Mytilus edulis: one gene and its partners. The protein of the gene in region 1 purifies or fractionates together with the protein of each later gene. This does not show direct contact. Links are inferred from orthologs where the notes say so. Each region holds a gene or a part of one and is shown in the gene's direction. Other genes may lie near its edges.

Region 1 (3,763 bases):
TTCTTTTAAATCTGAAATAATCAGAACTTTTAGCACTTGTAATTATAATATATATCTAGATTCAGATGTACAATAACAATGTCAACATATCAATATAACTAAATTTTTTAAATCCTAAAGATTTTCATGAGTCATTTTCATTTTCTGATTAGTGAAACATGAAAGCAAGTTTTTATGATTTTAATTTGATTTTAGATCGCATACATGTCAGCAGTCTGCACGGTTAGCCACTAGTCCGATGCCCCAGACTAGTCAAATTTGGTTCGGACTAGTAAGTTTTTGCAAAACTTTGTTTGGCCCAATAAGAAAAATGTTAGAATATTAGTCTTCGGACTAGTAGTTTAAAAAGTTTTTGGTGCAGACTGATATTTATTGTCATGCATGTGAAGCAAACTTTTCCAGATATATTTTTCTGTAATATTTATGTCCAACTTACGTCAGAAAATTAAAATAAGCCTGAATATTATCGTTGCTAAAAAAAACATGAAAAATTTCTACATACAACATCACAGTAACCAAATTGCAGTTGAAATCTTGCATGTCTTTGATCAAAATGTTATCAAAAAGTAATCAGGAAGTGAAAAGTAACTGATTAACGTTAAAAAAATTGACTGATCACAATGATTTCATGAAATAATGAAATCAATTACAGCTGATTATGATAACATTTACCTAAAGCCTGCATGCAAGTCATAAAAAAAGGGGATTCCAACCATATGTCCACATAATTCATTTTTCAACAAAAAGGGGGGGGGTAAATAAATTAGCTCGATTAATACTGGTTTACTGTAATATGCATTTAAAATTATCAATTTTTAAAATAAAGATGAATAAATAACAGATATTGAACTAAAAAAACTGCACCGTAGAAGTTATATTATTGGCATCATCATAAAAAATTGCTAATCACACTCACAGCATCCAAAACGACAAAAGCAGAGCTGAATGACATTAAAATCTAAATTAAGATGTAACGATTAATTGTATTGTAATAATAATAGGCAAACAAAATCAAAAAGGATAAAGTATTAAATTTTAACAGACACTACTTTAAAATTATGATAAAGATGTTAAAGTTTGTAGGTTCTTTGTCGTAAATTATCCCTTAAAAATACTGAATTTCATTTTACCTGAATACTGATATCTTCGTTAATACTGTTTCAATAAGATTTCTTTACTGCAATTGGTTTCTGGTACAATATAGCCAATTCTTGTTTTCTTCTCTATGCGTGTATTGTGAAACTGCTTTTTAAAAATTCCGGGTAATATAAAATGTCATTTTGCCGTTTCGTTTTGATTGGATGATAGAAAATAAAGATAATTTTCATTGGTTGTAGCCACTAGCAACAAAACAAGCCGAAAGTATATTTTCAAGACTTTTCTCTATCCATATGGAAAGTCTAGAGTGTTTCGAAACAAGCACCTGTTCTACGGAAATATGTTTTTTCCAATGAAAAGCTGTTCAAAAGATATTTTTTTAAAGAAATATTAGAAGTGCAGATTTTTTTTTATTATTAAAGCTTCATTAATAAAACATTGTTTTAGTAAATATTGTCCGACTTCCGTTCATGCGCTAGATACCTATTTCCCAAAACAATCATGTCGGCAGACGAAGACACCGAGCTTCGTGATCTTGTAGCTCAAACTTTAGAGACAAATGGAGTTTTAGGAAAAATCAGGGTATTTAAAACCATACAAAATATTGAAAGTTATTGGTGGCTAAGCTAACATGACGCACATATATTCATAACGCCATTCTATTTGAATTTTAAGACGTTGCTGATGACGCTTTTGCATCCATGATGCATGTACTGACAAGAAGTTGGCAAAGTTACCACGGAATGTAGAAATATTTGTGACATGTTTACAAATATTAGCAATGCATGAGCGTCATAAATATTTATTTTACGTCGTATTTGTCCGAAATCTTGATTTATATTGTATTTATCATAATTGGTTAAACTATAAATCTGTAAAAAAAAAATATAAACTTTTGGTTCAAATTATCTCCCCTTAAATTAGAAGCAAATACATGTACTATGCATGACACAGTGATTATCGCATTTTAAGGGGATTACAATAAATCCCTTTCAGTTAAAGTTGTTAGACATAGTCTGCAAAAATATTGATAACAAAAAAATTCCCCAGGTATTTATATTTTTTAATACACACCTTGTCGCTATTTGTTAGCCATTTCTGGACATCTCACAGGTTCCCAGAAAATTTTGACATCATAATAAAAAATATCTGACGCCACAATGGAAAAGTGTTTGTTTGTATGACGTCATTAGTTCTAACGGTGCAGATTCTCTGGTCAGCCGGGAATAGCAATAAGGTGTCTTCTTACTTGTACAGGTCTACTCAAAAGACAAATTATTTATTAGAAAACATTGAATGTATGTTATTTAAAATAAAAAAATAAAAATTATGTATACAAGTTGGAAGTTTTTCCTTTAACTTGGACCAGTACATGCTACTCGAAGATACACCCCTATGAAAAATTATATGAACAACAGTACACAACATAAAAAACACTTGATTAGCCTGTATAAGTGGGTTTTTTTTAACAGTGCTTGTCTTAAACCAATATTGTCACATGCTTTGGATTTTGGAAACCTACATTGAAAAACTGTAAACATCAAAAGTGATCAGTAACTATACAATTATAAAAGATCGACAGGAATGATATTATGGCCATGAATTATTTTCTAGTCTATTACATTTATATGTTGGAAAGTGGCAGGGGCGGATGCAGGAATTTTCGAAAGGGGGGGTGCTAACCCAGGCCCTGGAGGGCATAGGGGGGGTGCAAAACATATGTCCCGATACAAATGCATTGATCGGCAAAAATAAAGGGGGGGTGTGCACCCCCGGAACCCCCCCCCCCCCCCCCCCTGGATCCGCCACTGAGTGGCCATTGACATTGATTAAGATCATGGTGCACATAGATCCAGATGATTGACAAAGGCTCTTTAGAATCTCCAGTTTAATTTGGCCTTAGCCAACAGCACTATTCTTTTCTTTGACTGAAATAGAAAATTAAAAAAACCTTTATAATTCACTGATTTGTATCAACCTGCTGAATTTACATCATTTTAGTTTAAAAGATTTTGAATACATGTAAATTAATATAGATATGATGACATGGACAATGATGGATGAGAGGCATATTAAACTTTTCCAAAAAACAACGCTTAATTTCTTAAAAATTATTTTCAGGCACAGCTGAGGGCCAGTGTATTCCTAGCTTTAGAAGAACAAGAGTCTTCACAGGTATGATTTTTGTATGCCATAATGAACAAAAGTCCTTAAATAAATGAACCTGTCAAAAATAGGATCATTTGCTATAAGTCTGATAAAAAGAGATACATGATTTACATACCGGTGAACCAATACATGTTTGGTGTAAATATATCACTTTCTATTAGCTTAAATTACTCTTTGCTTTACCTTTGATATAACCCTTTTAAGAAATTGTTTAGAATCAATCATTGCTTTCTACATTGTTGTACACTATGACTTGATCAGAATTTCAACATACTCATCTCAATGTATAGTTATTGCATTTAATGGTTTTCAATTGGATCAAGATTTTGCTTTTAATGTGATAGGATTATTAACTCTTTTTGTTGATGTGGATTGGCACTCGGTTGATAGACAATTAAGATTCAAGTAGATACACAATATCAATATTCACAGTCTAGAGATCACTGTAGACCAACTATCAAATTAAAAAAAAACCTTTAATATAGGCCAATATGTC
Region 2 (3,763 bases), on another chromosome or scaffold:
GTGTCGTTTTGTTGTTTGGATATACAAGTTCCCCGCCATGTCCACTCTTGGTTTTTTTATATGTATTTCTATAGTGACCTATAGTTGTTAATGTATGTGTCATTTTGGTCTCTTATGGAAAAGTTGTCTAATTTGCAATCATACCACATCTTCTTTTTTTTTTTTTTTTATATTAACCTCCAGTGGCATTCATTAAGAATAAGAATACTTATTTTTCCAATTAAGGACCCTTGATTGGCATCATGACATTTATATAATAATATAGAATTGATCGCCAGTGCTTGTTGGTATACGGGAGGTAACTCGATAATTTATTTTTTTCAAATAAAAATGATAATAACATTCGAGTTATAAATTAAGTTGCGTCCAAAGAGCTCTTCTGGTTTTACCTGCAACAACTTGGGGCCAGGACAAAAATTTGTTTTGCCCTCCCCTTTTTTTTTGTAAAACCGTTATTTTTTCGTTTTCTATTAATTTCAACAGAGACATGTATTTATATGTCTCTGATTTCAATTATTTTCCGCGTTTTTCTGTATCATAATGTATATACTACACACTGTACAAATATAAACTGGTATAATATTTGCTATTTACTATCAATAAAGTTTGCATTGTTGGGAGTAATTAGCAAATAAATGTTATTTTAAGTATATAAATTTTCTTATTATATAGAAAAACGAGAAAATAATTGAATGTAAGAAAAAACGGAAAAAATAACGGATTATGGAAAAAGGGGGAAAAGCATAAAATTGTCCTGTCCCGTCAAGCACCTATAGCTATGACATATGCACTTGTTTCTATCCACCGGAACTGAGGTCGATTATCCATATATATCTTTATGAGAAGGTCGACTAATCATATATAGTTGGCCTATCCATGGATAGAAACAATGAATCTCAAGTGTCTGTGCCCACATGGACTAGGTTGGCAGATCCAGGGACTAGTAAATGATTTTGATTACTGAAAAACGAATGATCGATATGGATAGTTAGAAAGAAAAAAAATATATAGATGCCCGCGAAAAGCGTTGATAATGTATTATTAATAGACAGTATTATTAATAGACAGGAAGTACGAAAAAAAGACTTGAAAAACATTGACCATAATTTTACAAAATTTGAAAGTGCTCATGATAAACCGGCCGCGATCGAGTCCCGGCTGCGGCCAACAAGTATATTGGATTCGTGATCACTGGGTGTTCATGCCGAAGTACTGCTTATTTCAGTTTCGGAAGCAGAAAGGGGGTAGGAGAAAGGAGAGGAAGGCTGGGAGAAAGGAGAAAAAGTTGGAGAAAAAAAATTAAATATGAAAAAATAAAATATCTCTTTTTTCCGGTAAATTAAAAAAATAAAATAAGGAGAAGAGGGGTAGGAGAAAGGAGAAGAGGGGTGGGAGAAGGGAGAAGGGTACCCCCTGTCCTCCCCCTCAGTTATGATAGATCTAAGAACTGTTTTTAAAATAGTGTAACCACGTCTTTGATAAATATTAGCTGTCTTGAGCAAAGCGAATAAACAGAGAATTATTGTGGAAACCAGTAGGTACCAGTTTACCCGTCATCCAATAAATGTTACAAAATGGCGGCGAATTTTGGAGTACGTCGAGGCATGTTTGCTTAGCCAGTGTTTACATTGCGAAGGGATGACAGAAAAACATGCAATCAGAAAGAACAGACATTTATAATAGACAACACAATAATTTCTAATATTTTCATATTATAACTTTCATAAGTAAGTGTACATAAAACAGAAACATTTGCAGGTTACTGTGTAACGAAGGCCCAACAAAAATATTATGAGATGTTTTGCATTTAGCTAACTCGGCAACATTATGTTTGAAATGATTTTGTAGATTATCTTGACCGGTAAATAACGGAAAACACAGCTTTTATGTATCACAAAGTTTCAAATGCATTTGTAAGTCTACTAAGATAATCATATAAATATTGTGTTAATTTGATATTAATTTTGGTAACCCCCCTTAAAGCGAAATGGTAACAACAAGATTGACAATGCTCTGTTCCACATTCTGTTCTATCAGACATTTATTAGTTGTGTTTATGCCTCAAAAATTTAAAAAAAATGTGTATTGCAACGAAAACCAGATAATTAAAAAAGGACATGTACATGTATTAAAGAACAGATTGTTTATAACACTTTTTTCTCACAGCTATTTTGATTTAATGGTACTGAAACTTTGTAATTGAGATATGTCTGGGACTGAGCTTACGTGTGAAGTGACGGTCATAAAAATAACCGGTAATTTTGGTAGAAAACTTTAATTTTTCCAATTGTGATTGTGGCAGTGTTTTTTCTTTTACTCTTAGCCCAACCTTAAACATTCTGAAAAACCCACTTCTGTCCTACATTTTATTGTGATAGCAATGAATAGTCCTGACCTTTACATTATCCTTGATAATATAGATTCAATGGTGGATTTCGTCATTCTTTTCACAGCAAGTGTTGCCATGGAGTGTGACTTTCATTTCATATTATCATGCATTCATAGCCACACAGAACTTTTTTAATGGTAATATAAAAAAGAAGATGTGGTATGATTGCCAATGAGACAGCTATCCACAAAAGACCATAATGACACAGACATCAACAACTACAGGTCACCGTACGGCCTTCAACAATGAGCAAAGCCCACACCGCACAGTCAGCTATAATAGGCCCTGATAATGTAGGTTATAATATAGAAATAAGGAGATGTGGCATGATTGCAAATGAGACAACTGTCCACCCCAGTTCAAATAAAGTGGATGTAAGCAATTATATAGGGAACCAAACATGTGAAGCCTGCAACAATGAGAAAAACTCATTCCATGTACATTGTACATGTAGTTAGTAAGGCAACAACATGAAAAATATGAAACAGTTCAATTGAGAAACTACTGGCTTCCTTTATAATAAAACAATTTACGAAAAACAAAGAAGACAGATATGACCAGAGAAGAAAGAGATTATTGTCTACTTTAAAGGGCGGGAAATTGTTTCACATCAATGACACTTATATTAAATGAGAAACAAATCTTATTTTAATAAAGGATCCTAAATGTACAAATGTACATAATAGAAACCAAGTTGGTGGATTTGAAATGTAAAACTGTTATATAAGGATAATCTGAAGGTCCAGATTACCAATATGCTGTGCAAGTACATTATGGTGGTGCATAACACGTACAGGGAGATAATTCTGTAAAAATAACATTTTAATCACATACATGTACAAATGTATGCATTGTATTGTTAAAGGAAGGAAACATTAAGTTTCTCAATGATCAAAATTAGTGTTTTATCAAACTTCTATTTATATCCAATTAAAATTTTCCAATAATTGAATAAAGTGCATTGTTCCAGTGTTTTTTTGTTTTTTTTTATTTGTCACTGGTTAGGGTCAAACAAAATTTGGTGTAAATACATGTACATATGTACTTATTGAAAATATATTTATTTATGTTTGATTTCAATTTCCAGGTTTGAATTTCCTATTTATTATTTATAAGGCGGGAAAATATATGGGGATTTCCTTGTTTTCCTTGTTGAGCTTTGATAGATCTATAGACCCTTAAAAATATATTTAAGAGTTCATTTTTCTCCATCAAGACACACAAAAGATTTTGATTTGATAACAGTATATACAATGTATATTGATTCTTTAATTAAACCCCAAAGGATTTTTTTTATTTAAATAGACAGGAAAAAGTGATACAAAGTAAATTAAACAATTGGAGTTATCCCTCTTTGTACAGATTATCTCCTTC
Region 3 (3,763 bases), on another chromosome or scaffold:
CAACTACTACGTCTATCTGTACGGCATGGATTGGTTTCTGTCATCTTAAGTAGTAAGTCGTTGATATCTAACTGTAAACCCTCATCGAAGATAGCGGGTAAAGGAGAGCTGGCCCAGCACGTCCGTTCAGCTGTAATGACTGAGACGTGACTGATGTGATTGAATGAATGAGGATTTAACAAAATTGATTTCAAATTATTTATATAAAATATATAAGTTTTCCAAAGAAGGTACCCAAAGAAATTTGCAACGATGCAAATATTAAACTTTACAATATAAATAAATATGTTTAACCAATGAATTAAAATAGCAAAAGCTATGTTATTCAACAAATATATCCTTAATAAGCTTCATGTAAATTAATTAACAATGAAATACATAAAATATGAAATTTAGAGTTTTACCAAAGGGAGCTAAAAATAAACTAATAACACTGTCTGCTACAATATCTTATAAACTATATAACGAGATATTTCATAAACTATATAAGATATCTCATAAACTATATAAGTTATCTTATAATGTTTCAATTGCGGTATTATCTGTGGATGTGTACCACATCTATGTCCAAAATTAGAAATGATTTTAAAATAATACAGTATTTTTTGTGGAGATTAAATTATTTAATATTTATTAATTACAACAATAATCATGGTATTCTGTAAATAACAGACAGGCACTTTCAACATAATTTTTATTATTATATACATATTCTTTTCCTAAAAAGAACACTTATTATTGAAAAGTTCAGGTTAATACAAGTTTAAATCAATTATAAACTTTAAATAGTTTGCATGTCGAGACAAGAAATGAATTATTCCCCTTTTCAATAAAGGTGTCGCATGAGACAGAACAGCCAATCAGCTCATCTGTTATGAAAATGGAGAGGGAAGATGGAACATGTTTGGAGATATTATGAACAATTTGTTGGTATTTCGCCCCATGCATCCATGTATTGCTGATAAAACATGACCAAAACACCAACAAATAAAAGGAAAAGCATGGAGTGGTGCAACATTTTAAAAAAATATGTTGAAAGAAATAAAAGTGAGATATTTGCAAGAAAACACACCGGTGGTCAGTGGTATCCGGTCGTTCCGGCCCCAAACCGATCCGGCCCCAAGTCAATCCGGCCCAAAGTCGATCCGGCCCAAGTCGATCCGGCCCACGTCGATCCGGCCCCAAGTCGATCCGGCCCCATAATAAAATAAGAAATAAATATATTGATCTTGGAGGAATTTGTGACACAGTATAAATGGAATTTGCAAAAAGTGTCCAATGATGGATGACAACAGGTATTATCATCGTGTAATGTGTTTTCGTACTAATAACAATTTTCACTGCTTACGGTTTTTACTGTTGAGTTTTTATTTAGGTGTTTACTCAGATTTAAAAAGCATGTCCTGTAGATTGATTTTAGGTATCTAGTTTTTTTGTCAATGATTTCTACGATTTTTTACTGTTTCCGATTACTTTGCGATTTTTGTATGTCAAAAAAAACGGCGTCATATGTTTTCGTATGAAATAAAAATTGGATCAGTACACGGACAGGAAATGACTACAAAATCCGGAAATAAATTTTTTCTAAAGTCGTGGTTCTGGTGATCGCTTGAATCATAAAAAAAGTTATTAAATACTTTTCAGTACTAAAAATTACTAGTAAATAGTGTAAGGTTGGTGTTTCGTGTAATGAAATTTTTAGATTTTGATTAATTTTCAGATTGGCACCTGGTTTGTACAAAATACATTATTTTTTCTAAAATAAAATGCAGTTTTCAAAATTTATGATTAAATATAAAAAGTTAAGACTGTTTTCATCTTCATGTATCAAGGATGTATAAAAAAAAATTGTCAATGAAATATTGAATAGTTGGATTTTGAACAACCATTTTATATAAGAACCCTGCTAATTTTAACTCGATGGTTTATAATTAAAACGGCCAAAAAAACACATGACAGTCATATGTCTTGAAGATCCGGTGTCTGACTTGCAAAAAACATATCTGGACTTTATTTTAATCCTTCAGAATTTTTTTCCACAACTATTCTAGTGATGCGTATTTTTGACATTAAATAAAAATGGCTAAATAGGTCAGTTTTATTTAATTTGTTCTAACGGCTTTAAAAAGCGACGTTGAATATGTTTTAAATATATCAAGTTGTAGTGGTGTTGTTGTTCTAAATATAGAAACAGAAAAACATGCCACAATGTACGCGTATGCAGTCGAAACCGACGAAATGTGGTTGATACGAAAACATATGACATACGAAAACATATGACACGACGATAAGTGAAGTATTGGAGTACCAGTTAAAGAACTATTTTAAATCGATACGAAAATGATTGTTATTGTGTCGTTGGTTGTATGGCAGCTTCAACATATTTTAAAATATGAAGTTATTTTCCATGATAACTTTAACTTTAACTCATGGCGATTTCATTTTCTTTTTTTTTTCATACACAGAATATCTAAATAAATATTTAGTCCACTGGAACCTATTAAATTTAACTCATCATAATGACTTGATTAATCAAATCATTAGTCTATAATTGGTTTGTTTATTCAACAATTGTCTGATGATTGTGAACTAAGGTGATGCCACTTGTAATCACTTAATTAAATCAAATCCTGATTAATTGATCTTCTGGTTAAGGTTGGTGTATATAATAATTATAAATTGTATTTTTTTCAGGTAACATCACAGGCTTCTATTTACTTGTTTGTTTTTTTCATAATATCAACGAGGTCTTTATAGATTGATATTTTGTTTGGTGTATATAATAATAACCTATAATGGTTTACTTTTATAAACTGTTATTTGGATGGAGAGTTTTCTCATTGGCAATCACACCACATCTTCCTATATCGATATATTTTTCATAAATTTGACAGTATTTTGAATAGTTGTGTGTAGAAAAAACACAAGTTATATGAGTATCCATTATTCTTTATTGCAAGAAAATAACAAAACAATGACACTGAATGCACGTTTTCACACTCTAAAATATAATATCAGCACTACTAAAATATAACAATAACATCATACATACTAACTATCTCTGACACTCACATAAATATACATAACCTTTTAATAAATCATTTACACTAACAGTTTTACACTGTCACTTACTTAAAGGAATTGTTTTAATATAATTATACCCAATAATCTTGAAAACTTGTAATAAAAACATAATCAACCTAGTTGTTTTATACTCATCTGAAGAATTTTTTTTAATTTTTTTTTACCGTACACCTTTAACATTATAATAAAAATCATAAACATTTATGAATTACTTTAATATATATCTTTATTTTTATTCCTTATAAATATATTTTTTTATTGGGGCCGGATCGACTTTACATTTGGGCCGGATCGACGTGGGGCCGGATCGACGTGGGACGGATCGACTTGGGCCGGATCGACGTGGGGCCGGATCGACGCGAAAGCGTGGTCAGTGGTGGACTTGATAAAACTTGAACAATAAACGTCTTAAGCTGAAATGTCAATGATTTTATTTGAAAATATTACATATATATCTATTTTGGGTTGAAGGACAATAACACTTTGTAAATTGTGAACTCAAAAACGTTATAATTCACCTGTAGATCAGTTGCGGATCCAGAACTTTTCATAAGGGGGGGCCCTCTGGTTGACCTAAGGGGGGCCCGCTCCAGTCATGCTTCAGTGATTCCCTATATCATCAACCAAATTTTTCCCACAAAAGGGGGGCCCAGGCCCCCCTGGATCCGCCTATGTAGAT

What was found.
Region 2: the proteins of centrosomal protein 43-like (region 1) and centrosome-associated protein 350-like purify together in Homo sapiens (affinity purification with mass spectrometry; 6 studies listed by BioGRID and IntAct, counting the BioPlex papers as one, with this or other methods). This does not show direct contact. The link is inferred for Mytilus edulis from reciprocal best matches to the Homo sapiens genes CEP43 and CEP350.
Region 3: the proteins of centrosomal protein 43-like (region 1) and serine/threonine-protein phosphatase 2A regulatory subunit B'' subunit gamma-like purify together in Homo sapiens (affinity purification with mass spectrometry; 3 studies listed by BioGRID and IntAct, counting the BioPlex papers as one, with this or other methods). This does not show direct contact. The link is inferred for Mytilus edulis from reciprocal best matches to the Homo sapiens genes CEP43 and PPP2R3C.

The regions. Positions count from the first base shown.
Region 1 is NC_092353.1:13,363,922-13,367,684, forward strand, and holds the start of centrosomal protein 43-like, read left to right. Parts: upstream 1-1,523; 5' UTR 1,524-1,599; coding exon 1,600-1,680; intron 1,681-3,219; coding exon 3,220-3,273; intron 3,274-3,763. UniProt on the Homo sapiens protein: Required for anchoring microtubules to the centrosomes. Required for ciliation.
Region 2 is NC_092345.1:30,840,357-30,844,119, reverse strand, and holds the start of centrosome-associated protein 350-like, read left to right. Parts: upstream 1-1,543; 5' UTR 1,544-1,727; intron 1,728-3,763. UniProt on the Homo sapiens protein: Plays an essential role in centriole growth by stabilizing a procentriolar seed composed of at least, SASS6 and CPAP. Required for anchoring microtubules to the centrosomes and for the integrity of the microtubule network.
Region 3 is NC_092346.1:60,300,454-60,304,216, forward strand, and holds the start of serine/threonine-protein phosphatase 2A regulatory subunit B'' subunit gamma-like, read left to right. Parts: upstream 1-856; 5' UTR 857-968; coding exon 969-1,047; intron 1,048-3,763. UniProt on the Homo sapiens protein: May regulate MCM3AP phosphorylation through phosphatase recruitment. May act as a negative regulator of ABCB1 expression and function through the dephosphorylation of ABCB1 by TFPI2/PPP2R3C complex.